Styela clava: one gene and its partners. The protein of the gene in region 1 purifies or fractionates together with the protein of each later gene. This does not show direct contact. Links are inferred from orthologs where the notes say so. Each region holds a gene or a part of one and is shown on either strand. Other genes may lie near its edges.

Evidence for each region.
Region 2: the proteins of histone-binding protein RBBP4 (region 1) and SWI/SNF-related matrix-associated actin-dependent regulator of chromatin subfamily A member 5-like purify together in Drosophila melanogaster (affinity purification with western blotting; 5 studies listed by BioGRID, with this or other methods). This does not show direct contact. The link is inferred for Styela clava from reciprocal best matches to the Drosophila melanogaster genes Caf1-55 and Iswi.
Region 3: the proteins of histone-binding protein RBBP4 (region 1) and chromatin assembly factor 1 subunit B-like purify together in Drosophila melanogaster (affinity purification with western blotting; 3 studies listed by BioGRID, with this or other methods). This does not show direct contact. The link is inferred for Styela clava from reciprocal best matches to the Drosophila melanogaster genes Caf1-55 and Caf1-105.
Region 4: the proteins of histone-binding protein RBBP4 (region 1) and chromodomain-helicase-DNA-binding protein 5-like purify together in Drosophila melanogaster (affinity purification with western blotting; 4 studies listed by BioGRID, with this or other methods). This does not show direct contact. The link is inferred for Styela clava from reciprocal best matches to the Drosophila melanogaster genes Caf1-55 and Mi-2.

Annotation. Positions count from the first base shown.
Region 1 is NC_135252.1:3,759,072-3,766,399, reverse strand, and holds histone-binding protein RBBP4, read left to right. Parts: upstream 1-4,311; 5' UTR 4,312-4,426; coding exon 4,427-5,524; intron 5,525-6,392; coding exon 6,393-6,572; 3' UTR 6,573-6,968; downstream 6,969-7,328. UniProt on the Drosophila melanogaster protein: Core histone-binding subunit that may target chromatin assembly factors, chromatin remodeling factors and histone deacetylases to their histone substrates in a manner that is regulated by nucleosomal DNA.
Region 2 is NC_135260.1:16,354,233-16,362,227, reverse strand, and holds the start of SWI/SNF-related matrix-associated actin-dependent regulator of chromatin subfamily A member 5-like, read left to right. Parts: upstream 1-4,991; 5' UTR 4,992-5,078; intron 5,079-6,588; 5' UTR 6,589-6,707; intron 6,708-7,995.
Region 3 is NC_135250.1:10,849,914-10,857,918, reverse strand, and holds the start of chromatin assembly factor 1 subunit B-like, read left to right. Parts: upstream 1-4,997; 5' UTR 4,998-5,105; coding exon 5,106-5,231; intron 5,232-5,479; coding exon 5,480-5,606; intron 5,607-6,051; coding exon 6,052-6,166; intron 6,167-6,954; coding exon 6,955-7,155; intron 7,156-7,751; coding exon 7,752-7,931; intron 7,932-8,005. Other genes in the region: parkin coregulated gene protein-like, read left to right, coding at 232-381, 823-983.
Region 4 is NC_135252.1:12,201,502-12,208,641, reverse strand, and holds the start of chromodomain-helicase-DNA-binding protein 5-like, read right to left. Parts: upstream 3,007-7,140; 5' UTR 2,963-3,006; coding exon 1-2,962. UniProt on the Drosophila melanogaster protein: ATP-dependent chromatin-remodeling factor which acts in nucleosome-remodeling by catalyzing ATP-dependent nucleosome mobilization. Involved in regulating transcription. Plays a vital role in development.

The DNA of each region.
Region 1 (7,328 bases):
ACAACCTGCTTCCGACCGCGATTGACTGAAATTTTCAAAATAGCTCGCGATCGACTGATCGGTTGTAATGTCATAAACAAAAATGAACGAGAATATCGGTCAGAGACCGAAGACTTATCGATCGAAAGTTAGGGGATCCCAAAACAGCGCTCTTACTCCATAGTGACACCTTGTGTCCCATTACTAATTAATTAATGACTTGCTAATTATACGGCATAATTTGTCCAAAATCAATGGGCTTCTGGTCCGAGATAAAATGAATGCACATGCAAAATCTGGACCAGATTCAATCTCGCTTCCGTGAGATATCGCGTGCATCTAACAGACATACAGACAGACAAATACCTATCAACATACTTACCGATTAAAATCGACAAGTAATGAATACGAATACGCAGATAACCGCACACACGCATACAAAAATTCCACTACTGCCAATAAGCTCGGCTCCGCGGGCGCATTCTCAATGAAATTGCCACAAAAGTAGGCATTTTTCATATTCCATTCAATTTGTTAATTTTTTGATTATGTAATTGTACCCGGAGTAGAATTTTTATCATTTATTTCAGATTTATTGAAATCATACACTTCAGATCTAGGGCCTGTCTAATTTTCAGTTGTAAGTGTTTTCAATTTCTCCAAAAACCTTGAATGAAAGTGTCCATGTACTATCTAAACAGCGAATAATGAACAATCTCAAACCATAAATGTTCCATGACTGCTCAAACTTCTCTATCTAATTTACAATATTCTTCAAGTCCGATTCTTTGCTCGCTTGGAATTTTGGCAAATTTACTCAACATCAAACGCGATCGACCGGTCTATCGCGATCGGCGTGTTGGCCACCCTTGCAATATATATATATATAGACATATAGTACAACAAAATATTTTTCCCATTCGCATTTTCATGATTTTGCAAATATTAATTTCATGCGCTGACAGAAATAAAAGACTAAAAACGATAAAGACTCGTTACAATTGACCCACAAAATCTTGTTTTAATCATATTTAATGCCGATACACATAATATTTACGAATACGGGATTTAATAAAACTGATTTGTAATAAGTGTGCCGCGACTTTTTAATGTTGTTGTTAGTGTGCCGCAAGCTGAAAAGGTTTGGGAACCCCTGATCTAGTGCATGCTTTTCTTCTTGAGGAATAGAATTACATTTTCTTGGACTTACATTTTCCATTGGTTGTTTTCTAGTCTCTTGTGCCCAATACATTCGATAACGCGGTAATTCCAGAATGCCCATCATGGATGTCCAACTACTCCCAAATATTGTTCGAATTCGTTGTGGTTTGTAGCATCGGAAAATTCTACTTTCTGTACCGAATACAAATTGGTCAGTTCTGCAATGTGATCAATTAAATTATTATTATCAAAAAACTGCTGAAAATATTGTAAACACGTCGATGTCTTTTCTGGCTGAGGAGGTAAAGGTGGCCTTTTGAAGTTACACGCAACTTGTAGTGTAGATCTTGCTCTCCATCGCATTTGAATGTCAGTCATAGATGTTTGATGACGACTTGTTTCTTGATGTTCTACATCTATCTATCTGCTTCTGAACTCAAGGTCATATTTGTCTTAGATGCTGACTGTGTGGAAAATACTTCCCTAGACTCTGACGCTATATATGTGCTAGTTATTGGTGGCATCATTCTGAGCATCTAATATATTCATCATCTGTATTTCTGTCTGAAGCCAGCGATACTTGTTCTGACGAATATAACACACACGAATCATGCCCTGATTTCTGGACTATGTCTTCAACTTCCTTCTCCCTTTCAATTTCTGAATCACTGAACTGAGTGTTTACCATACAGACAACACGGTCATGTATGGCTCCATGAGTTTCAGTAAATCTATTTTTTTTTGTAGGTATAGATATAGACGTAGGTATGGATATACTGTAGATAGATAATTACAGAGGAACCTCATCACCATTTTATTACTCCTCAACATTTTTATTACTCATATGTTTCATTTCTATGTATTATAAATTATCATACTAAACTTGTACTGCAAACATGGCAAAATTCCTAACTGCAGCTAACAACTTTGTGTCCCACTACAAGAACGCTCAAAAATCATAATATTTAATTACATAAGCCCGTCTTGGGCAAATTTATTCAGGGTAATCAATTGAAAAGTGAAACAGTAGGCCCTTCGACGTACCAGCATATATTATTTCTTTCACAAACAAACACGCATTTTTGACAGATCAAGATTTCTTTATTTTTGTCTGATAGGGCTGAATGTTTTATATTAACTTTGGCGAACAGGACCTTAATTCACGAATATATGCCAAAAAGATAGAAGTTGGGATAGAGCAATCTTAATGGGTGGGGACTAGGGGTGCTGCTTTTCATTATTCATGTCCCAGTTGTTTTTCAACCTACGCTTCGCGTGCTATAAAGGTGCGGTGATTCTGAACCACCGCAAATTAGGGCCGAGTTGTCACCTTTTTACAAACCACCTCCAAAATAAAGTACTAAGATAATTTCTCTGGGGTCAAGGGTTGAGGAAACATCCTCCATTCCTGCTTCGCGCTGTTTTTATTTCATTTTTGCCTTGCCTTAAGCATCTGTCCTGATAGGATTTAGGATGTACGGTACGTATTTATCCCGGGCTGCCGGGGAAGAGGAAAGTCAGTAAGACGGCTTAGGCTTAATCAGAGACGAATAGAATGTTCGTTGTATTTAACCAGATGTTGAGACATCTGAGAACTGCAGTGCACCGCTGATATTGTCATCAAACCCTACAAACTGATAAATTAACCATCTAAGTTACCGGTATATTTTTTTGACATTCCCAGAGCCAGAGGTATTACTTATGCGGATAGGCTATGCTTGTTATGAATCGAATTTTACAGAATTGTAGTAATTTTTTTCATGACTTTTATTTGTTTTCAAGTAGGCTATTTGTTCAAGGCTTTTGCATGCCACACAAAAATCTTCTTTGAGCCGCAGTTTGCCCACCCTGATATAGACTAACGGTAAATAGATAAAATCAAGTAACATCTCTAAACCAAAGCTGCGCTGCCACTGTTAGGGCTGTAGGGGGATTTTTTCAGATACCGGTAGTGATTTATCAGATTTCGGGTTTCTTTGCATTAAGTACATCCGTTGATCCACATATCCTTTATCATGTCATATTACTGTATCATCTAGTCTATAGACTACTTACATATTGCAGTACTGAAATAGCACTGTCAGTTTGGTGTTGAAAGTTGAATATTCTATAATCAATATAATATATATAACCCCAATTTTGAATTTTTCTTATAGAAGCACAGATAAAAGGGGTGGAATATTTTATTTACAAGTTACATATTTTCGCAGTTTACGTAAGTGTTTTAGGTATCTAGACTATATATAACGAATGTACGCATACTTTATTTTAGTATTTGTTGCTAATAGCAAGACTAAATTCCTAATTTATTACTTATCGATTTTAATCGGTAAGTATGTTGATAGATATTTGTCTGTCTGTTAGATTCACGCGATATCTCACGAAAGTGAGATTGGATCTGCTGCAGATTTTGCATGTGCATTCATCATATTTCGGACCAGAAGCCTATTGATTTTGGGCGAATTATGTCGTATAATTAGCGAATTATTAATTAATTAGTGATTGGACACAAGGTGTCACTATGGAGCAAGAGCGCTGTTTTGGGGATCCCCTAACTTTCAATCGATAAGTCTTTGGTCTCTGACCGATATTCTCGTTTTGTTATTGCTTAATATGATCTATTTGGATACCTGAAATTGGATGATGCTACAAATCTCTTATCAAACATTCTCAAATGATAATGATGTGACACTGCCATTCTTTGAATTCCTTGGATATCGTGAGCTTCGTTACAATTTAACTACTTTAAAAACATAATTTGAGATACTTTCAGCTTTGTCAGTTGTTGTTATTCACTCAAAGTCATTTTGAATAGTCTATATAATTTTGATGTTTTACTCGACTCGCTGAAATATCAGTAATTTTCAAAGTTTCAAATGCTGATGCAATATTAGTGTTAAATAATCATAGTGTGGTCCTTTACATCTCTATACCGCATATTATAGTTCTTCTTGCACTGTCTTATCATAATCAAATATGGAGCAGGCGAGTTGCCAATGGCGAGTTAGCGCTGTGACAAGTTGCCCTCCACCCTCCCAAAGCTGTATTCTTTGATGAATTGAATTGATCTTGTAAGGAGATAATATTCACTTATTCGGAATAAAATTAGTAGAATTGCTTATTTTTTCAAATTATTGATAAGGACAAAATTCTAGCTCTTGAATTTACTCACGCCAGAATAAAAATCCTATTATGTATGCACAAAAGGTTATACATTACAATAGTTTCTGGTTTACTATAGAGCATTGATCAAATTAGACATTTTAACTCAAAATCGAAGGCTGTTATGGCTGAAAAAGAAACATTTGATGAGGCAGTGGAAGAAAGAGTTATCAATGAAGAATATAAGATATGGAAAAAGAACACACCATTTTTGTATGATCTGGTAATGACACATGCATTAGAATGGCCAAGTCTCACAGTTCAATGGCTTCCTGATGTAGCAAAAGCAGATGGGAAAGACTATGCTGTTCATAAGCTCATTTTGGGGACACATACCTCAGATGAACAAAATCACATGATCATTGCGAGCGTTCAGCTTCCCACAGATGATGCTACATTTGATGCATCTCATTATGATAGTGAAAGAGGGGAATTTGGTGGTTTTGGTTCAGTTAGTGGGAAAATTGAGATAGAAACAAAAATTAACCACGAAGGAGAGGTCAATAGAGCTCGTTACATGCCTCAGAGGCCGTGTATCATCGGCACAAAGACACCAAGTAGCGATGTCCTAGTCTTCGATATCACCAAACATCCACCTAAACCAGATCCATGTGGAGTTTGCAAACCTGATATTCGTTTAAAAGGTCATCAGAAAGAGGGCTATGGCTTATCTTGGAATCCAAATGTAACTGGTCACTTGTTGAGTGCTTCAGATGATCACACTATATGTCTGTGGGACGTGGGTCACAAATTAAAAGAAAATCGTGAGCTCGATGCTAAATCAGTATTTACTGGTCACACTGCTGTAGTAGAAGATGTGTCTTGGCACCTCCTTCATGAAAGTCTATTCGGATCGGTAGCAGATGATCAGAAATTACTTATTTGGGATACAAGGGCACAAAGTACCAATAAACCAAGTCATATCGTTGAGGCTCACACTGCCGAAGTGAATTGTTTATCATTCAACCCCTTCAGTGAATTTATTCTTGCCACTGGTTCAGCTGATAAAACTGTTGCATTGTGGGATTTGAGAAATCTTAAGCTCAAGCTTCATTCATTTGAATCACACAAGGATGAAATATTCCAAGTTCAATGGTCACCACATAATGAAACTATCCTGGCATCAAGTGGAACTGATCGCAGACTCAATGTCTGGGATCTAAGTAAGATTGGCGAAGAACAGTCCGCAGAAGACGCGGAGGATGGTCCTCCAGAACTACTGGTATGTACTTTTTTATCACTCTGTTAATTTTTTTTGTTCAGTAGTTGATCACATCAGTTTAACCAAGAATAAATTATACAATAAAAGTGCCATAGCTAGATATGTAGTATCTGCTCCTGTGCAAAGTGGAATTGAATTTTGGAATGCATTGTACAATATTTTGAGCTGTAGTAATATATTTGCTCAATATTTCTTATTTAAAAATATCCAAATATTGTTAAATATACTAAAAGTATATATGATAGGTAGAACAAAATTATGAGATGTTTCCAGTGTGACAGTGTTCCAAAAAACAGAACCCAGATCTTTTGGAACATACTTTTGCCCAAAGCATCCCAGATCACTGAAACTTTTGGGTACAATTATACACAAACAGAAGTTGAAGTGTTAAATAAGTTTTCTTCATTTTCATAGTAATTAAGAAATTTATGAGCTCTGTTATTTTTTGGATCACCCTGTATGTAAATAAAAGGTGGGCTTTGTTTACCTACAGTTTAATGAGGCCAAAATAATATGCCCAAATTAATTTGCCTGTTTATTATTATCATTTCCATCCATATACAAATATTTCAGGTAAAAATTTCATTTAAAGTATAAGCTATGACTTTTGCCAATTGATTTCTGTGTGTCATGCAAATTGCTCATTTTTACTAATTATTTATGCCAGGCGATTGTCAGCCGTCTGTTACTGCTCAGAGAAATATAATATAGTTTTGTATCTACTTTCAATCACATAAGTAATTGGTCACTGAAGTATAGCAGTAATGTCACAGAAAATGCTTGGAATGCATTTTTATTTTTAATTTCATGTTGTTATTTGCTGAATTTTTTCAAAAAATTAATTAGAAATTACCGTATGTTTTGTCAGTTCATTCATGGTGGCCACACAGCCAAGATCTCCGATTTTTCCTGGAACTCAAAAGAACCATGGGTAATATGTTCTGTGTCAGAGGATAACATCATGCAGGTGTGGCAGATGGCTGAAAACATATACAACGATGAAGAACAAGAACCTGGATGCTCCGATTTAGAGCAGACAGCGGGTTGATTCAGCCGAATGTGTACTTTGCAGATGGCTCCAGAACTCGTAATGCATCAAAGGCAAATATAGTGATAATAGCCTTCCATGCTTCTTCAACCAAATCAACAATGGCACTCCAATAGGCAAGGAAGCCAATTTTCAACAGAATGATTTGCTTGCTTGCTGTATGTATTCAGAGCAATACTCATCACTCGTGATAGCCCAATGCTGCTTATCAAACTAAAGTAATGAAACAACCCATGCAAAACAATGTTTCCGCATTTAACATTTGATGCCTGCTTATTTCAGCCAATTTCTGTGTAGACAATAACATGCTTATCCAGTGATTGTGTCTGTAATGTTAGATTTTTGCCAAATAACAACTGTATTTTGTTCTCAAATACATGTTTCTAAACACATAAAGCATTTACTGTTAAGTTAAATAGTTTTGAATCTCAGTGGTCTGGATTATATCTGCAGGATTGTTAGGCTACTCATGCCAGCCTTTTCTCCACCAACCAAAATTCAGTCTCGATGTAGAGCAATATAATGTGAAAAAAAAACGCGTGAAATTATTTTTGACAAGGAAAAAATTATAAGCCCTGCTGTTTATTTTGACGATGACTTCACACTTGTAGCTCTATTAGACACGGAGAAACTCAACGCCAATGAATAACATTGTTGTGCAATATATGAAGGTCTGCAGTTTTATGAATTTTTAACTCTCCACCGCCGCGAAATACTTTAAATGTTGTTTTACTGACGATCATGGCGATAAAATGC
Region 2 (7,995 bases), on another chromosome or scaffold:
TCTCGGGTAGGCAGGGGCGGATTAAGCCTCTTTGGTGCCCTAAGCACTGAAGACTTTGGTGCCCCCTCATGTGTAATTTAATTATAAAAACAACAAGAGAGCTATGCTCAAATATATGGACACGTAGCGCCACCCAATGGCAATAATTTTGATGACGTCATAGCGAAAAAAAAAGTAATAGCCTTCTGGAGAAAAATTTTATCTTCAACCACTGAAAATTTCAAAGCAATTGGTCCAGTATTCGAAGAGAAAAGCGACTTTTTAAAAACGTGTCAAAGAACAACAACAAGGATAACAAGAACAAGAACAACAACAACATAATATTGAAACGATCGTTATGTCCACTACGTGTCCAATAAACCACATAAGTGTATTATCCATTAAAAATAATCACAACCAACAGTAAATAAAACGAACTTTACGAACCTTTTCAGGTTTTTTAACTATTATATATAGCCGATATATATATTGGCCGTTTACTGCCGATATTATATATATGCAAACACGCAATATCGGGCCGATATATCGGTTGAGCTCTAATCCTGAGGGAGTGTGACAATAAAGATTCATGCCTCCAGTCTCAACGTGAATCGAAATGCCAAAGGATACAAGTCACAACTGTAGTTTGAAATTTTACCGGTACCTAGTAGTCTACCTCAGAGTGGTTCAAGGTTGCTAGGTTGAAGGACCGCAAAAACTTTTGACGAGGTCTCGCGGGCCGCAAGTCGGAGAAAACCAAAAGTGATCAAAATATCGCGAGTTTACTTACTTTAAATTTATTAAACAACGAGATCTTCTAATCAGACTATTATTAGGTTGCATGGTTGGCGTTCGTTTTCATGGTTTTGGCCAGTTTTCGTCTATTTTACTACCCAGTGCGCTGCATATGGATGTATATGCGACACTTTGTGGGTATTCGGCAACGACTAACATACCAGATACAATTGTATTCGAGTATTTTTGGAGCCTGATGTGGATCTCGTTTTTGAAAAAAATTGGTTGTTCAGGCGATTGCACAATAGATATAAGTGGAAACAATTGTTTTTGCCTGGTATCCCAAAAATGCAATAACCTCCACGGGGAAAATTTCACCTGAGTCTTCAGTATAGGACGAAGAGAAATTTAGTTGATACTGCCGTAGACTGTGTACCAGGTTGGCGTTAGGCCATAACTTTGTTCTGACTTTTCTTATTTTGGTTCTATTACGAGTTCGGGTACTGTGTGTGTTACCCAAGTGAATATACCCTTCAGTCCTTTTACACAACTTGATGTAAAGTAGGGCGAACAATATTATTTACCTCAATATTGGTACACACACTTCTGAAGCGCCCTTTAGGACTACCGGTATGTTTTAGGTATATCTCGGGTAGGCAGGGGCGGATTAAGCCTCTTTGGTGCCCTAAGCACTGAAGACTTTGGTGCCCCCTCATGTGTAATTTAATTATAAAAACAATAAACCACATAAGTGTATTATCCATTAAAAATAATCACAACCAACAGTAAATAAAACGAACTTTACGAACCTTTTCAGGTTTTTTAACTATTATATATAGCCGATATATATATTGGCCGTTTACTGCCGATATTATATATATGCAAACACGCAATATCGGGCCGATATATCGGTTGAGCTCTAATCCTGAGGGAGTGTGACAATAAAGATTCATGCCTCCAGTCTCAACGTGAATCGAAATGCCAAAGGATACAAGTCACAACTGTAGTTTGAAATTTTACCGGTACCTAGTAGTCTACCTCAGAGTGGTTCAAGGTTGCTAGGTTGAAGGACCGCAAAAACTTTTGACGAGGTCTCGCGGGCCGCAAGTCGGAGAAAACCAAAAGTGATCAAAATATCGCGAGTTTACTTACTTTAAATTTATTAAACAACGAGATCTTCTAATCAGACTATTATTAGGTTGCATGGTTGGCGTTCGTTTAAAGAAGATATATAAAGCCTTCAGATATTTTAAAGTTAATTTCCGAGAATTACCGTTGTATTTTGCGCATCTCGCGTTTAATGTCGCTTCAAATTATATTCTTTCGTGACAGATATTACTTGAAATCAAACACTGCGTGATGGGCAAGGAAATACATTTCCGCCGTGTTCTCTCATGTCACCTTTCTTGCGACACTCATTTTATTACGAATTGTTATATATATTGAGTAATTTAGAAACTTGCAGCGTGAGCAAGCTTAGTGACATCGTCAAATACCAACCAAGTCAGTCTAAGTTTGTTTTCTGGACCTAGCTAAAAAACTGGATTACGCGGCGTTAAGTCGGCTCTGCGTTTCGTCACTACTGTCACATGGCCGATGCTTGTAAACAGAGGAGTGTTTTGGCACAAAGCGTTAGAAAAAGGGTTTGAATTTCGGGATCCCAACCCCAGTTGGAATATCTAAAAAAAAACGTTACTCCATTACATACAAATATACGCTAAAATTGTTCTGTGAGCCGCACGGAATGTATCAGCATGACAGAGTTTGGACCACCCTGGTCTACCTTATTAAGAAACTCCCGACTTTGCTGACCAATATATCGTTGAAATGTTTGCGGAATCGCCATATGGTGGCAAATTCTGATGACGTCATAGCTCAAAATAAAAACGAATCTCATAAAGCTCACAGAAATATTTGAAACTAATAAAAGTAATAGCCTTCTAGAAAAAAATTCCATCTTTAACTACTGAAAATTTCAAAGCAATTGGAATTTTTAAAAACGTGTCAAAGAACAGGAACAATAAGAACAACGACTATATTGCGGAAAATGGCTGTAATCCAATCACAATGTTTGGTTGCATTAAAAAGTACTCCTATTATAGCGTTACAATCCCAATGTAACGAAATGCCTTTACATATTATACATTATAGAAAATGTCTACATTACAAATGCAGAATGATTCCTCGTGACAGCGAAATTACAGCACAATTATTCAAACAGTCGTGGGAAGAATATTTTTCTTACAAACCGTCATTTGCAACGTTTATTATGAAAACAACCAACAGCTTTTTTACCAACTTCTTTGTTGCAAAAGTTGTCAATTTCAAGATTCCTTAAAGCCACCGCAAATTGATACAACGTTAACGATTTATGGTACAACATGTTCACCAACAATACTTCAAACGTCATTTCTTGACCATATACACGAAAAACTATCGAGACTATGTACAAGTATTTACTGACGGTTCGAAAAATCCATTTGGCGTAGGTGCTGCATATTATGTGCCTCAAGCGAAAGTAGAGAAAAAACTTAAATTACATCATAAAAACTATTAATATTCCGGGGCGAAAAAAGTTTGGGAAGCGCTAGCTTAGGGTAGGGATAGTGGGAGTAAGCCGCCAGCAATCCTCTGGTACTAAATTATCCCCTACTGGATTTGAACCTGCGAATCTAAGCGGGGTAATCTTAGGTTAGAAATCAAGCGTAGTCCTAAGGCTTAGTACGATGCGCCACTCAACGCGAACGTAGTCAACTGCAGTGCACTGGCTGACATAGATACTAAACACATTAATATACGTCTATACCCTTACGCTGGATGACGAAATCTCAGGATTGTTCTTTATGGCCGTACATACCTGTATCATGATCGCTTTTTACCAAGAGGTCTACTGTAGAGACAGACTCAAAGTGCTTCATACAGAACTATAGAGTCTCCGCGAACTATTCGTTTACTCAAAATGACATTAATAAAATTAAAGAAGAAGCAAATACATCCGAGTTATTGAATAGCGTATTTTCAAATCACTCATTAATATTAATCTGTAAGTAACAATTTGTTTTTGTTACGTTCTTATTGTGGGGCTCCGTAAATAGCAGTCTACCTCTTCACGAGCTTCATAACACCAAATATGTGAATCAGTCGTTGTCGTCGGTATGCACTTGTCTTGAGCAGTCAATTGTCGTATTTACTTCACATAGAACCGTGGTTAATGCTGTTGCTGATGTTATATCTCTGCCGTTTGGTTTGGGCGGAGAAATTACCTTTACTGTAGGCCAGGACCGCACCTAATTATTTATTTTGGATCATTAGCCCCAGTTTTTGAATTTCCTATTATACAATGACTTTCATAGTTTTGAATATATACGAAAAGAACTATAACACCATAATAAACAATTTTAATTTGCTACTAACCATTAGTCGGTCGAGGAAGTGCCCGTTTAAGGAGGCCGAAATATCATTTCTGGAAAGACCGGACCCAAATAATTTTGAAGTTTTATTTGCGGACCTTCGATAAAAATAGTTGAGTAGCCCTGCAGTAGGCATCGAAACAACGTCCCATTGTGACTCCACTTTTAAGGACATCGCCGTCACGTTATTGTATGAAAACATTCTTGACTGCGAAAGTCAATGAGCTAAGATTTGTACGTTAATTTAGAGAATGCATTGATATAACGCTAAACACGCCGTTATTCTTTCATGGAGTGGAGGGAAGGTTACATTTTTGATGACATCCACGTGCGCGTTTACTCGAAAAACAAAACAGACAAATATAATGGAAATGCTGGATTCTTTGTACTAAGCTCCCGTCACTGATGTAAAAATGTGAGATCTGAGATAAACGGTTCCATTACATTTGAACCCGTGTACATTTGAACCCACGTACATTTGAACCACGTACGTCTGAACCCACGACAATTGCACCTGCGTACTATTGCACTTATGGAAATTTAGTTGTTTTACGGATATTTGTACATGGTTCAAATGTACGTGGGTTCAAATATACGTGGGTTCAAATGTACGGTCACCGAGATAAACACCCCCAAAAATACTATGAACTAGGTATTATGCGATCAGAAAATGTATGAAGCAAATCCCAACCGTCATCTTCATTCTGCAACTTTGAGATCACGCGTTAGAAGCGTGATCGGACCGTAACGGCAACCTGGAGTAATTAAAGTAATCAGTTAAAAATATTTGATTACAACAATCAGTTAGCTTTTTTCGTCAAATATTTGTGCGCGGGAAGCCACAAGCGACATCGCAGTCACAAATGTTCGTCGTAGGATAAGGTTTGATTTTGTGTAGAATGTATGGACAAGCTGACTGTTGGGTTATGACAGCGAGTTTGAAACAATATTCAGGTGAGCTAAATGTTCTTTAAACCTATTGTTTTCATTGATATTCCATTGCTTTCATTTTTCTATTGTATAAGTGGTAAATTAGAGGTTTTCGGGCCTATACGAATTGGAATTATTAACCAAATACAGAAGTCTAGATTGGTGGGTGATTCTCTTTTGTATCGAACGGGTTCCATCGTTTCCTCAAAACTGGTTGAACTTAAAAGCTATATGACAATACATAGACTTATCATATTAAGAAACTTAAACGTAATATACTGATCTACGTCGCTACGTAAGCTGCATTCAACAGGACAAGATTTACATGAATGTAAAGCATAACTTTCAAAACTTTCGCAAATGTAGCGCAAAATCAATGGTTTATTAGAGATTCGCCGTAGCCTTTTCCCTTTCATATTTTATTGTGTATAGGGTGCTCCCAGAGTATTCGTACCAAGATGGCGCACATCCTGAACACAGTATGTGTACCTGGTTAGGGTTCAGGTTGTGCACCATCTTGGTACGAATACTACCGGATCGCCTTGTATAGATTGGATCTTTGTACAAAGACGCTATCAACGTTCAAAATAAGAGAATTAATAATTATCCAGTTTAAGTTAGCAATGCAGATTGCGCTGGGAATTCAATTTTAAATCATTCCTAACCCCAAATGGATTATTAATAATATGTCATTTTAAAACGTGGCGGGAGCGTTGGCAGAAGATTTGACTTCCGACGCCTATTTTATTCCTGTACACCACTGTTTTCGTTTAGAATGCTAAACAATTAGATGCAAGCGCACCGCGTCTCGGGTCTTGCGATCAAAGTCGGCATTGCCACTTATTTGATCGTGTGTTTTCCCTCAAAATTGTAAGATTTATATTTTCACAAGTTTTAATAATTGTCTTTCGAATCAAAATTCCAAAAAAGTAAGACCCACGTTCACGTTTAAAAGGCTAAATAGTTCGATGCAAGCCAACATTGTTACGCTGTATATTTGATCCTGTGCATATCGAAATTTAAGATTTAGATTCTGTACATGTTTTAATAATTGTGTTTTAAAGCAGAAGTCCGAAAAGTTCATTGGGTGTTTTACTTTTATTCTAATATTTGCAACTCGTGCAGTTTGAAAACTACACCTGGTATGTTATAAAATATGGAGCTGTATTTATGAAATTGAATGATTACATATACCTGTAACTGTAAGGTCGATGAAAAGCAATTTCTATGTTAATCTATAATATTTGAAATTTAATGGCAATCGCTGAATAAATTTTATTCGTCTAAATTTTCTTAGTTTTGTGTATTTAAAAAAAAATCGGAGGAAAGTTTGGCTTTTATGAAATCTAATGTCGAAATTTACCCGTTACGTATTTTATTGAAACTAACGTCTATTTTTTGCTTTGCAGTGTCTCTGTCAAATAACATTTGTCTGAATTAACTACCTAATGACATAGTTGGCTCAACGAAATTTAGTTTAACTCAAATTTAGAATTGGCTTGCACAAAATCATGACATATATATTGATTTTCAGCTTTTTAAAACACTGCTTGAAAGTTGACAGGACAATTTATCATTGTAGCAAAAGAAATTCGTCAAGTACCAGCTTTTCATCACTGAGTGAGATGGAGGCCTATCAAGTCTGAAGATCAAGTATGTAACCAAATCATTTGAAAGCTTTTCAATTTAGATGTCTATAGTATAGATTAATGATATATTGTATTTTTTTCGGAAAATCTACATACAAATATTACTTTCAATATATTGAGTATAAGTTTTGGTTTGTGTGTCAAATAACATTTTCTAAAAATTACAACCTCAAAATTTCATCATAACATGATTCGCACAACTACCGTTTTATTCTGGCTGCTGAGTCGATCCAGTGAATAAGGCTAGGGCCATGTTTTAGAAATAAAAATTAAGCTTTTTTTTCGTTCCCGCCCAATAGCGGGTAGGCCACTACAGCGCCAGGCTACGCAAAGTACTCACGGCGATAAAATACGGCCAGATATGGGCAAATAGGGAATCGATTCCAATAAGCCATCTTGGCTAATGTTCTGTGGTCGTTTTTGTTCGCTTTCGACTGATATGTTGGCCATATTATTAACCGAGACTTACGCATATTCATATACCTGCCAAAATTAGACCGTATGGTGGGCTGGGGTAGGATTAGCGTTTGATATATAATGAGAAACGAATCAAGAACTTGCGAATATGCAAAAAAAATCGACGCAAATAATTAATTCCTGTCAAATCCCATAAGAAATGCATTGCGCGCATCGGAAAAGTTGGAAGCATATCGTCAAAACGAGAGAGGCTTCATATGACCCCGCGAAAACGAGAGAGAAGCACACTCTATATTTATATATCTCTGTGGGTTATATGGTCCTTTCCCCGACCTTTGACCTCCGAAAAATTCTTCCTATAGTTTACCATTGCAAAATGTTCGGGGCTATTTTAAGAGTGCTTTTACGAGTTCGCGCCTGTGAAATGGGATATGTGTTGCAAACCATCATTATGAGTCATCGCATACAACAATCTGTTTTTTAAAAGTACGGTGAAGAATTTTAGCCTAGTCTATCATAGCTATTTCTACACTGATTTTTTTATCACTGCAATTAAATTAAAATTCCTAGGAAGACAGAGTGATCATTGAATTATCTAAATTATATTTAAGTTTCCGAAACACAACTGAAAACTAACGAATAGATTTCGAAAACGCGAAAACGAGGTAATGTTTACGACCACGTTCGAAAATATGTCTGAGTGAGAAAAGTATTTGAGCGGATGCGAAAAGGAAGCATTGTTACGTCACTTTTTGCATCTTGCTGATTGGCCAATGTCACGAGGTAAACAAGGAAGTCGATGCTCGGGGAAAGGTCCATACACCTCAATGGTATGAAGTTTCCCTCAAGCATCGATTTCCTTGTTTATTTCCGTA
Region 3 (8,005 bases), on another chromosome or scaffold:
TGAATGGCTGTGAAATTGTGAATTGTGATATTTGTCTATTTCTAATCAAACAAATTTTATTTGTTTCCTTAACTTATTCAAACAAGACAGTGGGTATTAGATGATTGTTTGATTTCAGCTTTTGTCTGCAGTTCTATTTTCGCATCGCAATTTGGCAATCTTATTTCATATTTTCACTTTGACATCTTATTTTGCTTTGAACTATCCATTTTATATTATTCTTTCTTTTAGATGCTTTAAATACAAGGAATCGCCCAGTCATATGCACGACACTCAAAGTTCTTCAGCATCTGGTTGTATCGGGTGATATGGTTGGAGAAGCTCTTGTGCCCTATTACAGACAAATCCTTCCCATTTTGAATATTTTTAAGAACAAGAATCGTAAGTCCGTTGAGTCTTAGATTTTTAAAATTGAGTAATTTTTTGTAAAAGAATGTAATATTCTTAGTTTTGTTACCAGTTTTGTTTTGTTGAAATATAACACAGCAAGCATTTCAAGGAAAATCCCTTGCTGCATCATTGGTGATAAATAATGATTTTAGTGAAACACATAACGTTGATGACATTTTTGTGAGTAATCTAGAGAGACATATTTTTAAATTTTTACAAAAACTTCACTTATTTATCTGAAATTACTCGAGTACTGTTTGTTATAATATGAAACTTTTTCTTCTAGTATTGAAGTTATTGTTATCTCTTGAGCTGTATTCATTTCAGGTTACTTCGAGCTTAGGCCTTGTTGCAAGAAATCTTGAAGCATGAATCCAAGATTGCACTATTTTATGTACTGGTAGTTAGCTCAATATTGTCATTAAATTCTAGGTAACTCCGGTGATGGAATTGACTACAGCCAACAGAAGAGAGAAAACATTGGAGATCTCATCCAGGAGACATTGGAAGCGTTTGAGAGACATGGTGGCGAAGATGCTTTCATTAACATCAAATACATGGTTCCTACATACGAGTCATGCATGCTCAACTGAGTTTCACCAAATTTTTTTCTTTTCTTTTGAAATGCTTTTATTACTTTCATGTTGTTGTACGTTTTTTAGACATTTTCTACTTGATCCCGTATTATCTATATAACATTTTCTGTATTCAACACTCAAAAAGGTATTGCTATTGCTGTGTTTAAATTGATAGAAGGTCATAGACTCGATACCCAAATAAATGCATTCCCTCCATCTATCTATGCTGCATTGTTTGTCAAAATTTCCGTTTTGAGGGTGAAAAAATATTTACTTCCTTATGTTCAGTCCAGTATTATCATCAATGGATGGTGTTTCTCAAGCACTAGTCGAGTATTGCTAATGCCTGGCAAAAAAAAATATTTGACTAAAAAATGTTACGAATAGTGTTGTAGATCACTTCTTTTCAGAAAAAAAAATGCCTTGAATTATAAGTAGTTCTTTTAAATTTTTGTACGTATTTGCATGTACAATTCAATAATATTGTGCTCAATAAACAGGCATTTTTCACCTCACAAAGTTACTTTTCTTTATTCGTTTTGTTGTGTGTCACAATTTATCAATCAAGGTACAGTCGAGTGAGCAGTTTGTACTAAGATTCGAAACAAAATGCAAGGCAGTTGGCACATCCTGCTTAGAGTTAGTAATGGGCATGTTATCCCAACTGTGATTAGCATGCACGGGTTCGCCGGTTAGAATCCCACGTGTGGTTAATTACGTGCATGAAGACTCCTCGCCATCGCAGGGTGATTCCCTTTACCGCTGGCTCACTTGTGATGCTCGATGAAGGTCAATTAGAATTGATTCAAATGTGAAACCAAATCCGCATTCAATGGTAGCATAACTTTTGAAACAAGTAATATTGTTTATCTGTTCCAAAGTTCTTCGATCCTTGGTCTACATTGCATAAGACATTGGGATTACAGCTTCTTAATATTTTGTTTTGAGAATTCTTTTTTTGGTGCACGATACTACTCATGGGGCCTTGTGGTTTAAAACGCGTCTGGTATTTAGGTTTTGACACTTTAAATAATAAATAGGAAAGCGAAAAGTGTGAGTGCTTAGCATGCAATATATCGGCGGAAGATAAATAGGGTAACAACGCAACGTCGGTGAAGCGGTTGCGCCTGCACAAAAACAACGAAATTTTTTGGGGACCGACAAAAAAGCTCGCGGACCAGCGGTTGGGAACGGGCAGAAAGCGTGGCACAGTTTTACTCTCCTTCGCGCCATAAATTTGAAGTTATAAACAGTTGCGGTTCCATTACATTTGAACCCACGGCAATTGGACCTACATACTATTGCACCTATGGAATTTTTTTTGTTTTACGGATATTTGAACCCATACTAACCCTAACCCATGGGGGTTTAGCACCCGAATATGAATTGAACCCGCGGATATACACATGGGTTCAAATGTACGGTCACCAACCGTTGCAGTTATAGGTTTAATCAGCTGTGTGGAGGCATCAATAGTACTATTAGAATCTCCACTTTTAATTCGTGTAAAGGGAAAGTGATAAGCCGACTTAATCATATGACGAACCACGGCATATCGTCCAGTCACCAGGGATTGTTCAGAGGCTTTTTCGGAGTAAAACCGGGGTATCTTTTACTATTTTCCAATCCCTTTTTTAATGTAGACTCGTTTACTCCAAAGAATGAAGATGATGATTTTATTTGTCAATTTGTTCGCTAAGCGTTATATCCTGCGTGGGTTCCAACGACTAACATACCGGTGGGTTCGCAGCATTTTGCCCAGTAACTAACATACCGAGTTTGGTTTTGCCATATAATTAAGCCGTCTTATCGGCTTTCCTCGTTCCCGACATAAATATGTGAATCCTATTGTTCTTATCCAAAGTATATTATTCGTATCCATTCCTCGTTTTTAATAAGTGTGTTATGTAATTGATATTGTGATAAATAACCTAAATACACTTCTTTCATATTACTGTATCATATTTATTTATACTATAAAAGGCGCAATGATGTGGAACAGCGCTGTGAGTATGGACCTTTCCCCGACCTTTGACCCCCGAAAAATTCATCCTATACTTCACCATTGCAAAATTTTCGGGGCTATCTAAGAGTTCTTTTGCGAGTTGGCGCTTGTAAAATGGGGTATGTGTTTCAAACCATCATTATGATTCATCGCATACAACAATCTGTTTTTTAAAATTACCGTTGAAGAGTTTTAGCCTAGTCTATCACAGCTATTTCTACACTAATTTTTATTACTGCAATTAAATTAAAACTCCTAGGAAGACAGGGTGACCATTGACATATCTGATTTACATTTAAGTTTCCAAAACACAACTGAAAACTAACGAATAGAGTTCAAAAATGCGAAAACGAGGTAATGTTTACGACCACGCTTGAAAATCTGTCTGAGTGAGAAAAGTGTCTGAGCGGATGCGAAAAGGTAGCTTTGTTACGTCACTTTTTGCAATTTGCTGATTGGCCAATGTCACGAAGTAAACAAGGAAGTCGATGCCCGGGGAAAGGTCCATACAAGGGCGGGAAGTTTCGGCAGTACGTTTTCACAGCTGATTGTTATGAACGCTTTTCTTTGATAATAGTGGAGTGAATTTTTTCGCGGATCCTCACGCAGTTAGGGAAAAGTTTAATTGTGGTTTGAAGCAGTTTGTGTGGGATGAAATATTAAGGCAAATTGCTTTTGATCCCTAATTCCGTAAATCATACTAAAGGAACGCCCAGCCAGCCAGCGTTCCTATTACAGTATTTGGGTCCGTCCTATCCCTGTATCCTGGTGTCCCAGTACAGCATTACGGTATCTAGGAATCTGAGTATTCATTGGTCATGTCTGCTTTATTCATTCATGTTGGGCTATATTAATCATATGATCCTGTTACAGCAGTACAGTGTTGGTCTCATTTTTTTTTGGGGACATTGGTGGTCCTATTCAGTGACGGGAATAAAATTAAGAAAAATACATAGATATAATGTCACAATGTTTTGGCAAAATTATTTTTAAATTTTTTCAATCTCTCTGCTTCTGCCATTTGAACTCTACCAATTCTGCCATATGCCTCACACACTGACACAGTCACATCCTGATGTAATATGGGCAAGGATAGTGATAAAAAAAAAATTACGCCAATTAATTCTACTTCATTTTCTAACTTTATCTTATTTATCCAAGAGTTCAAGAGTTTGTCCAACTGCCTGAACTATCAGTACTGTTGTTCCAGTAAATATCACAGTATCAGGAACAACTTGCTTTTACACAAAATGTGTATGATTATGTTTTTTCTGTTGTATTAAAAATAAACAATTGTTAAAAAATATTTATAAAACGTGTGTTTTACTAGAACTAAATAATCAGTGTCTTTCACATTTGTCATTAGTTGAACGTAATGCAAAAATATGGTTGGAATGTAATGCAGTTATTTTTGAAAATTATATTTTCCAAGTGTTAAAAATGTCGTAACAAGAATTAGAAAATCCCTTTCAGCAAGGAGAAATATAGAACAATTTAGACATAAACCTAGTTTTATAAAAGAACTTGACATAATTTGCAAGAATCTATGACTAATTGTATAAATTTTTCTTTTTCTGCTATCAATAATTGAAAAACATGTAAATTAATGTATATTTGCTGATAAACATGGGAAAATTTATCGGGAATCAACAATGGAATATTACTGTATTATGAATTGCTGGGTAATACTGGATGATATTTATGAATATATTTGTTTATTATATGTAACTATGTTTATTATTTTTTCATCATTTATTTATTTTTACAAAACTGTTATGAATCCACAACGTAGAACTATAAAAAAAAAGGACAACCAGACAACCTATTTATTTTATGTCTATTTGTTCTGTATTTTGAGGTATCTTGATCCATGATTGGAAGTACAGGAGTAGTAAGTAGGCTAGTACTGGCCGACTTAGTTTTTGTGAAGGAATTTTCTATGTTGTGCTGTTTTATGTCATACTGCAAGTACTGTCATATGTGTATACCCATAACTGTATAATTCTGTAATTTTTGTTTATATTTCCTGATTTCTATGCAGCATTATCATTATATACTTGTTAATGATTTATGATGTAGGTTATAAATGTATTTCAACAAATGGAATCTAACTTCGAAATTACATAGTCAGAATGAAAGTTACTACGCCAGAAATATCATGGCATGCAAAGGAAGCTATATATTCCGTTGATATTCAACCTAAGCAAAAAGATCAACCACTTCGTGTAGCAACTGCTGGTATTGATTCAAATGTCAGGGTATGATTTTTTGTCAACTTATGGTGTATGGGAATTAACATACAATAATATATCTTATAATAATAATATCTTTCAAATAACATTGATTTTACATCGTTTTTAATCTTCGTAAGTGCTTTCTCATTTTAAAATTCATGCATATCTAATGATCTAGCATAGCACAGTAAATCTAAAACATGTCCAAATTTTGCTTTATACTTGAAAAATACCAAATTGCATGATACATTTTTTGCCTTGAATGTTTTCAGATATGGGAACTTAAACCAGAGCTCAAAACTTGTGTGACATTTCTTTCAAATCTTACTCGACATGAAAAAGCAGTAAATATTGTTAGATTTTCGAAGTCGGGAAGCGTACTTGCTTCTGGAGGTGATGGTAAGTCATGCTAGGATTTCATTTCATTCATCATTTCCAATTGAAGGATCTTTGCAATCGAATCATTTTTTCATCTAAACTTTCTGGGTTGCTGCTCGATACCAGCTTTAGTTCACCACTGCTCCCTATTTTCTTTTAAAATTATGTCATCAACATTTTCATATAATTTTGTATTTATATCGTTTTTTAATTTACTGGCTGGAAATAATAAACTGATCTGACTATGGAGTTTTTTCAGAAATATAATAGTAATGCAAGGTCACGAAGACTTGCTCAAAAATCAAATGAAATTCGTGTTCATGCGTGTGTTGAGTTTCACTTTGTCAGAGGCATTTGAGGTATTAAGTTTTAACTGACGATTCTAATTATGATTCTTCGAAACTGACCCAAATACAATTCAAAATATATGACATGCGATTCTCTTATTTTTATCTTCTATCTTTAGACGGAACAATTATTCTCTGGCGACTCAGTGATAAAAATGAACCGCCAAATATATTCGATGATGATGCTGATATAGGAAAAAATATAGAAACATGGAATGCTTTTAAAATGCTCCGGTATGCTAGAGTTTAATTCTTGTGTTGCATCACTCTGTTAAAATTATAAATAACGTATATAACAATATGCCTCCTTCAAAATATAATTATGGTAGTTTTTTTTCTTTAAAAGTTTGCTCAAAGCAAGTTCATTTACAATTACTCAGAAGTAAAAAAGAAATCTTTGAGCCAAGTTGTCGGTGACCACTCAAATGCCAAGCTGCCTGGCTTATCAAAGTTATATATACTTGTGATAGTGCATTAATCCAGTAAATAGTGGGGGACTTGAGACTTTGTTCATATTATCTTTACACTTAAATTGAATCACCAAAACGTCATTTAATCCCTTCATCAAAATAAAATTTCCAGCGTGCAATTTAATAGCAACAATAACAGCAGTGTAAGAATCCATAAAAACAGGAACAACATTCTGATTTAATCTCAGAAAGGAGGGTCGCATCGTTTCTGCGATATTGAACCTAGGTAATGTAGATGACTGACAGCATCTCAGATCATCGTCATAAGAAAAGAAATGCTAAGATGTGGACATCTGAATATTCCTTAATATTGTTAAAATCCTTCCTTCATGGGTCATTTCTCCCAGTTTGGGAAGCACTGATCTAGTCTATATGATCAGTACAACGATTATAGTGGAAAAAAAATTTGGAATTAAAATTTTATTTGTCTTGAAGAAGATAAACAAATGAAAGCTCACAACCAATCTATCTATATATGCTCTGTGTCAATGAAATTCAATTACCCAACATATTTGGTTGTCTCAATATTTAACATCTGTCTATTTTTCATAGAGGACATGTTGAAGACATCAATGATTTAAGTTGGTCAAATGATGGGGATTTTATCATATCTGGGTCTATTGATCACACTGCAATTATGTGGGATGTTGCCAAGGGATCAAAACTAAGTATTTTGACTGAAGCTAAACATTTTATACACGGAGTCGCTTGGGACCCATTGGATAAATATGCTGTTGCTCTCAGCTGTGATAGGTATGTAAAACACATTTCTGTGTAAATTACTTACTTTGAAATTATGCTGAATTTCACTGATCGTCTCCTTAGAGTCCTTACCTCTGATCGTTTTATGTGTAGGCGATGTGGGTTCGAATCCTGCGGCATATGGTCATATGATAAAGAGGGTCGCTGGAACCTATTGGCATTTATACCTCCTATGCACTCCATATTCGTTTGACACTTGAATGCCCATAATGAATCAAATCTTCAAGTGGATTTAAAATTATTTATATTCATGAATTTGGTATAATTTAGAATTATTATCATTTTGAATGATTTGATCAATCGAAGTCTTACAGTGTGAAAAAAAAGACGTTCATTTTATTTTTAAAAACTGTAAAAAATGCAAAACCGATCAATTCATTATTTCTTAATGAATATGCATTGACTTGTACATGTGTTATGTGCTGAAAAAATGACCAAATTCAGAATATACGTATTCGATATTCTGGATCCAAAAATATTATTTTACAATATGTTCACAAACACAATAATAGATTATACTCTTCAGCCACCCTTGAATGAAGTGCAAAAATATGGTTTTCACGTAACATGCAACTTTCTATTCTAAGGTCTATGAGAGTATACAACACACGAACACGCCGAATTCTTCACAATGTATCCAAAATGGTTTATCCTGAAATGGCGGATGACACTGCTGACAACAGTCAAGTTGATAATGATGATGAAAATGATGTTTCTGCCGTAAAACCTCAGCGTATGTTTCATGATGAAACTGTTGTCAGAAGAAGGTAGCCTATTTACTTTGTTGACATTGCTTAAATTGGATAGGATTTTTCCTATTTATTCTGAGAGAGAGGAAAGT
Region 4 (7,140 bases), about 8.4 Mb from region 1:
TTAACTTACGAAGCATCTTATGCAAAACAATGAGCTTTCCACTTGCTTTGATCAATTCATGACCCTCAAACGCACCGTTTGCCGTACGTGTAGCTTCCTCTGCAGCTTTATTAAACAGGTATGGATGGTTGCAACATTTCTTTAAATCCATCATAATATTAAGCAATGAAGAATTATTTGCTCCTCCTCTTGAATTTAGACCTTCAAAGTTTCTGGCGAGAATGTATCGATAAAATTTTCGTTGAAGTGGTGAAAGGTTGACTCGAACTATGAACTCACTTTTTGATGCAAGATTTTTTAGGACATCTGCTTTTAGTCTACGCAGCATGTGTGGTCCAAGCATGTCATGCAATTTCGAAATCTGATCTTCTTGTGATATATCAGCAAACTCATCAAGAAAGACATCTAGTTCATTGAACTTCTCTGGACATAAGAAATTCAGCAGATGAAAAAGTTCTTCTAGGTTATTTTGTAATGGCGTTCCTGTCAGAAGAAGTGTGAATCCAAAGCTATATTCAGATAGCACTCTAAAAAACTTTGACTGGTTGTTTTTCAGTCTATGTGCCTCATCAATACAAACAGCTGCCCAATCGACAGACCCCAAAGTTGTGTTATCGATGGAACACATTTCATATGACGTCAGCAAGACATGAAATTTAACAAGGCATCCGGTTTTCATTTTGTATGCTTTATTTCCTGATCTGATTGCATTGTCAGTGAATGAAAATTCATGTTCTCGAATGACTGCCCGAGAATCCTTTCCACCATAGTAAGCTACAACATAAAGTTCTGGTGCCCACAATTCAAATTCTCGTTCCCAATTGATCATAGTGGATAATGGTACCGATATTAAAAAAGGTCCCTTCGAATGACCTTCATGAACTAATGATTTTATAAATACAATAGTTTGAATAGTTTTTCCCAGACCCATTTCATCTGCTAAAATGGTGTTGGTACCTTGTGACCAAGAAAATCTGAGCCAATTCAGACCTTCTAGTTGGTAATCATGCAATGCAACACCAATATCTGTGATGTATGTAGGTTGGTCTTCGTACTTTTCAGAAGGATCAGGTTTGTCTTCTTTTTTTCTGTCTTCTCTGCGCTTTTTCTTTTTTTTTTCTTTTACTGCTCCTTCTATACTCTCTCTATGTTCATGATACTTTTTAATAGCATCTTGTAATCCAATGACTTCTTCATTGGTTTCCAATATCCACGAAGCCTTATCATATCCCAAATCCTTCCATTTTACTAAATATTGGATTTGGCCGCTTCTCCCTGCTTTTTTATGATTGATAATTCTGTGTATTGCAAGCCAGTCTGGATTTATACCATATTTGTAATACTTGTTCGCCAATTCTTTATTTGTCCACTCATCGTCCCATTCCAATGGTGTTTCCTCTTCCATATCATTACGACGCGTAAATGTTCTCCACTGATGAATGAAGTAAATTTCAAGTTGTAGCTCTGTTATCCATTCCACTTCCCAGTAAGATAGATGATGATATTTTACAAGAAATTCCCGCTGTCTATAACCCCACAACTTTTTCTTGCCTGTTTCATTACCTGGTCTATCATCAGGTACTTCAGTATATGGAGCATCTCTCCATCTCCAAGCCATCACCTTTTCAAGTCTACCCTTGGGTTGTGGGCAAGCACATCTTGGGCATGACCATTCACCATCTGGAACAACAACCATAGGCGGATTCAAACAATTTAAATGATAAGAGTTTGGACAAGTATCGCAGATTAGCAGATCACCACCATCCTTGCAAACAGTACAAAACTCCATATGATCGTCTTCTTCTTGAACCTCTTCCTCAACTTCTTCCTCTGAAAACTCTTCAGCATCACTATCTTTTGGTTTGATTCCTTGTGCCTGACAAACAGGGCAAGGCCATTTACCCTCTGGAGCTTTGTCTAATGGGGGATCCAAGCATACAAGATGGAAAGCACGAGGACATGTATCGCATAAAATAATTTCGCCACCTTGTTTACAAACATCACAGTAATCTTGGTGATCTGTTTCATATCCTTCTTCACTTGGATCTCTCATTTTAGGCTTTGTTTTCTTCTTTGTGCTTTTTATCTTTCTTCCCTTTGCTCCACCTCTTTTAGATTGCTTTGGTTTGGTTTCACCCTCTAAAACAGAAGCTGCCAAGGTCTCTGCAAAATCCATATCTGAATCATTATCTGATGGTGAATTTTCTTCTTCGCTCGAAGCATCTTTCTTTTTTCTTTTCATGGGAAGCCTGATACGAAGAGGAGCAACTTTTTTTTCCTTTTTCATCCCAAATTTTGGTGTGGTGCTACGACTACGGCTCTTTTTGTCCACAGGCACCACATCCACAGAAGCAGTGGGACCTCGCAAAACAGAAGGCTGGGGTGAATCTTCCATCTCAGCTGCCATCATTGTTGGCGTTGGCACACCCGATGATGGTGCATTACTGCTTGATTCCTGCATCTCTTGAAATCCTTCCAAAGACTGGAATTCCCTCCACAGCGCATTTATAAGCGGATACATTTTTGCTATTACAAGACTTGGATATAATGTAGCAAGTTTTGTTCTGGCAAACTGATTGAAAAGTCGGTAAGTTACATAGGTTTTATACTCTTCATCAGTATAATCATGCTCAAATGGAGGCAAACCCCACTCCTCACAAATCTCTTTAGATGTCTTTATATCCTCAACCTTCTTTTTTTTGTCCTTCTTCCTTTTCCTTTTCTGTTTTTCTCCATCGATGTTAAAAGACACTTCTGGATCACTTTCAATAGCAGATCCTTCGTTATCCTCATCGCTGGCTTCGGTCTTACGTTTTTTCTTTGCTTTTTTACCGCTTCTGTCTTTTTTTCTAGATTTTTTTCTATATTTCTCTTGTTCAGGAGTTCCAGGAAGACTATCATAACCCAAACCATCATTAGTTTCTATTTCCATGGCACCTTCATCGGTACCAATTTCAGCCATATTTTAAAATTAAAGAATGCAATATCTGTATAGAAATTGAAAAATAGTTGATTATGGTGAGCAATGAGGTATTAAATCAATCTGAAATTTGCTGATTCTATTAGGTTGGCAATAACCTACTTCAAAAAAACGCTATGTTTGAATTATTGATTGTTGGAAATAAACAAATTGATTTTCACAGAAACAGAACTGGTTTGACATGCTCTATTTTATTCGAGGACCCATTTCACTGGGGTCTCCAGGTACAAATATCCAATTTAATGTGAAGTCGATTAAACTTATTTGCTTGACAAGGATAAATGGGAGAAATATCTGAATTTATAATAATTTGAAAAAAACATAACATTTTTTCAATTATGAAAGTATGGTATGTGGCATAACCCACTTATTACGGAAACAAAGCTGTTGCAACATAAATTCTAAAATTCATAAATTATTCAACAGTCAACTTAGTCTAGGCTTACAGTTTATTCCAACAATTACCATAGATTGGGGTCTAGTGTAGTTTCGTACCTCATGTACTTCTGGTGGGCGCAACATTACAATTTTTGCATATGTCAATCCTAACCCCCACCTGACTGCATCATCACTACGACGTCACAGTGTCGCTATAAGGCCTTTAAACTAAACGAACTGTCACTCAAGACGCACAGACGATCATCCGAAATTGAGCAAGCTATTTCTCTCGTTTTCTCGTCGCAGTGATCCCGATATGAGAGAGATCGCTGCCGTTAGTGCGTTCTTTATCGTCGGCGCAGATGCCATTCAGGGCGATCGTAGGTATACTTTGGCAAGCTCTATGACATCATAGTGACGTAATTTTTGGATGGCGTAGTGGGGGTTAGAATTGACATGTGCAAAAATTGTTACGCTACGCCTACTAGTACTTGAGGTACGAAACTACACGAGACCCATAAATTGGTTAATAATTAAGAATTAAATTTTTTTAATTAATTAAAATTTTAATTAAAAAAATTTTAAAAATCCGAAAAATCGTTAAATTGACCTAAAATTTAAACAAGATCTGTCTTTGGGGCTCAAATTTTGGGTCAATTAAACGATTTTTCGGATTTTTAGGAAATTTACGTTATTGCGTTGTATAAAAAGCATTTCGTTGGAAAACTGATTAAGTTTTCTCCCAATTTCTTCATTTGATTGGAAAGATGTTGAATTCAGCTATCTATAGCCAAAATATTTTTTGAGCCCCTCAAGCGATTCTTGTACAAATTTTGGGTCAATTTAACGATTTTTTATATTTCTGTGAAGTTTTTTTCTAATTTCTTTATTTGATTAGGAAGATTTTGAATTCAACTCGGATCTTGTTCAAATTTTGAGTCAATTTATCGATTTTCTGTGAAATTTACGTTATTGCGTTGTATTTAAAAGTATTTTTTTAGAAATCTGATCAAGTTTTTTTCGAATTTCTTCATTTGATTGACCTCATTTGTTATTCACGTATACATGTTTTTGACATTTATACAACATTTTATTGCACAACTTACATAATTTTATTAGAGTATATATTCTTATTCTATTCACATCAGACTGGATACCAGTACTGTATTTTACACAAAATTTTTTAGACCGCATTTGCTTAGTAGACTACGATTCAATTATGTTTTATTCATAAATTTTATAATGAAACACTTTTTATGATATCGTATTTTTGAGCAGCAGGATTCCGCTAGCGTGACAGAGGTTCCAAAACACACAAGGCATAGTATAGTTCAATCAAAAAAAATATATATATTGATCCAGTTTTCAGACTTCTGATGATGATAAAATGAGATTTTGATAATTAACAGAATCAATCATTCCCTATCATGAACGATATATTAGATTCAGATATTTATTTTCACTTTCTGACTGAGTAAGAATCAATGTAGAATCTAAGATTAATTTCTGAATTTATTCATCTTTTTTTTCAAATGGTTCACTCAATGAGTGAATTTATTCAAATATAAAATGAATAATGTACAAAACGAGAATATCGGTCAAAGGCGGAAGACTTATCGATCGAAAGGTAGGGGATCCCCCAAAACAGCGCTCTCACTCCATAGTGACACCTTGTGTCCCATCACTAATTAATTAATAACTCGTTAATTATGCGACATAATTCATCCAAAATCAATAGGCTTCTGGTCCGACATATGATGAATGCACATGTAAAATCTGGAGCAGATTCAATCTCGCTTTCGTGAGATATAGCGTGCATCTAACAGACAGACAAATACCTATCAACATACTTACCGATTAAAATCGATAAGTAATAAATAACTTATCAGTCCATACCTACCCCATTTTACATCCATAATCAATTGTTCGAAGAGAGTTTTTGAACCGTCGCCTACAGACCAACCGTACGGTCTGACGGCAATTCAATACTGCGCTTGAGATATATCCACAGGATAAGGAGACAAATATCGATGGAAGCTATCTTTAATGGCTGGCGTGGCCATACGAATAAGACGTCTTATCGGTTTCCCTCTCTCCGGGAATAAATGTGGAAGTCTTTACTATTCCTGATGTGAGATTCAAACGCTAATCGATCTGATCTGATCTAACCTGATCAGTCTACCACTACTTTAGTTCAATATCGGCTACGCCACTAGTGGCGCGAATATGGCACAAGTAGAAGAACCCTAATGTGATTTTGGTAAAATAGAATATTCATGAATGCTTCCCCGGTCATCGATTTCCTTGACAAACCAGCAAAGAGTCAACGATGACGTAACAATTGCAATTTTTGTAGCCGCTCATACATTTCGTTCGCTCAGACCGTAAATACCTATTAATACGCTCAGACAAATATTCAAGCATGGTTGTAAACATTGCCTCGTTCTCGTGGTTTTGCGCGTTATTTGTCAGTTTTCAGTTGTGTTTACAAAAATTAGTTGTAATTGAAGTACTGTATTTTAGTTGTCATTATGTCTTCCGATGAGCTTTAGTTTAGTTACATTAATAAATCGTCCCGGAAAAGCTGCGATAGACTAGGTTGAAATTAGCTATTAATAAGTGTAGGCGGCAATTGGTTGTATATTTCGATAAAAATAATGGTTTTGAGCATGTAAATCAGTTTGTAGGTGACAACTCTCCAAAACACTCGCATAGGAAGAATTTTCCTAGGGTCAAGGTATGGATGTTTTCCCGAGCATTAATTTCCTTGTTTTTTTCCGTAACAATTGCAAATCAGCAATGAGTTAACAATGACCTAACAATTGAAATTTATTCCGTCGCTGAGACACTCCTTTCGCTCATGGTTATAAACATTGCCCCTTTTTGGTAGTTTTGCGTGTCATTTTTCAGTTCTTAGTTGTGTTTTATAAAATAATTGTGCATCGAATAACTTATTTGTCATTAAGTCTTCTGACGACCTTCAGTTTAGTTATAATAATCAAAAATCAATACCTCAAACGATGCGATAGACTAGCCTAAAATTAGCTATCAGTACCTATGAGCGGCAAGTGGTTTATTGTTCTGAATAAAAATAATAGTTTTGAACATGTGAGCCAGTTTGCAAGCAGCAATTCCTCAAAACGCTTTCAAAGTCAGCGTTTGGTAATGATACCGTATAGTGGGAGTCCTCGACTTACGACGCAGTTCAGTTCCTGAGACTCGGTGTAACCCGAATTTCAGTGTAAGTCGGAACATTATACAGTAGTCACTTTGATATGGATATGGTTAAAAGCGCATGTGACGCCAATATCAATTGTGATCAATTGTGAAGAGATGTCAAATTTGCATATTTTGTAAATTGGACTTCAATCAATCAATTTTATTTGGTCACTCTGATAGAATCAAAACACAAAACAACAACAAACAAAATACAGAGGACCTGGAGAACGGCCATAAATTATTAAAAAAGTAAAAAACGTACAAGTACGTGCCCGTACACCAAAAACAGTCAAAACACAATAAAACAAAAACACGATATAAAATCAGGCAATACTTCTATTAATCGATCAATCAATTTTATTTGGTCACTCTGATACAAAAACAAAACAACAACAAAGGGCAAACAAAATACAGAGGATCTGGAGGACGGGCATAACTTAATAATAAAGTTGAATACGTACAAGTACGCGCCCGTCCCCCCAAAACAGTCAAAACACAATAAAACAAAAACACGATGTGACATCGGGCAATATCTTTTAAATTGAAATGTGAGACTTGTATGT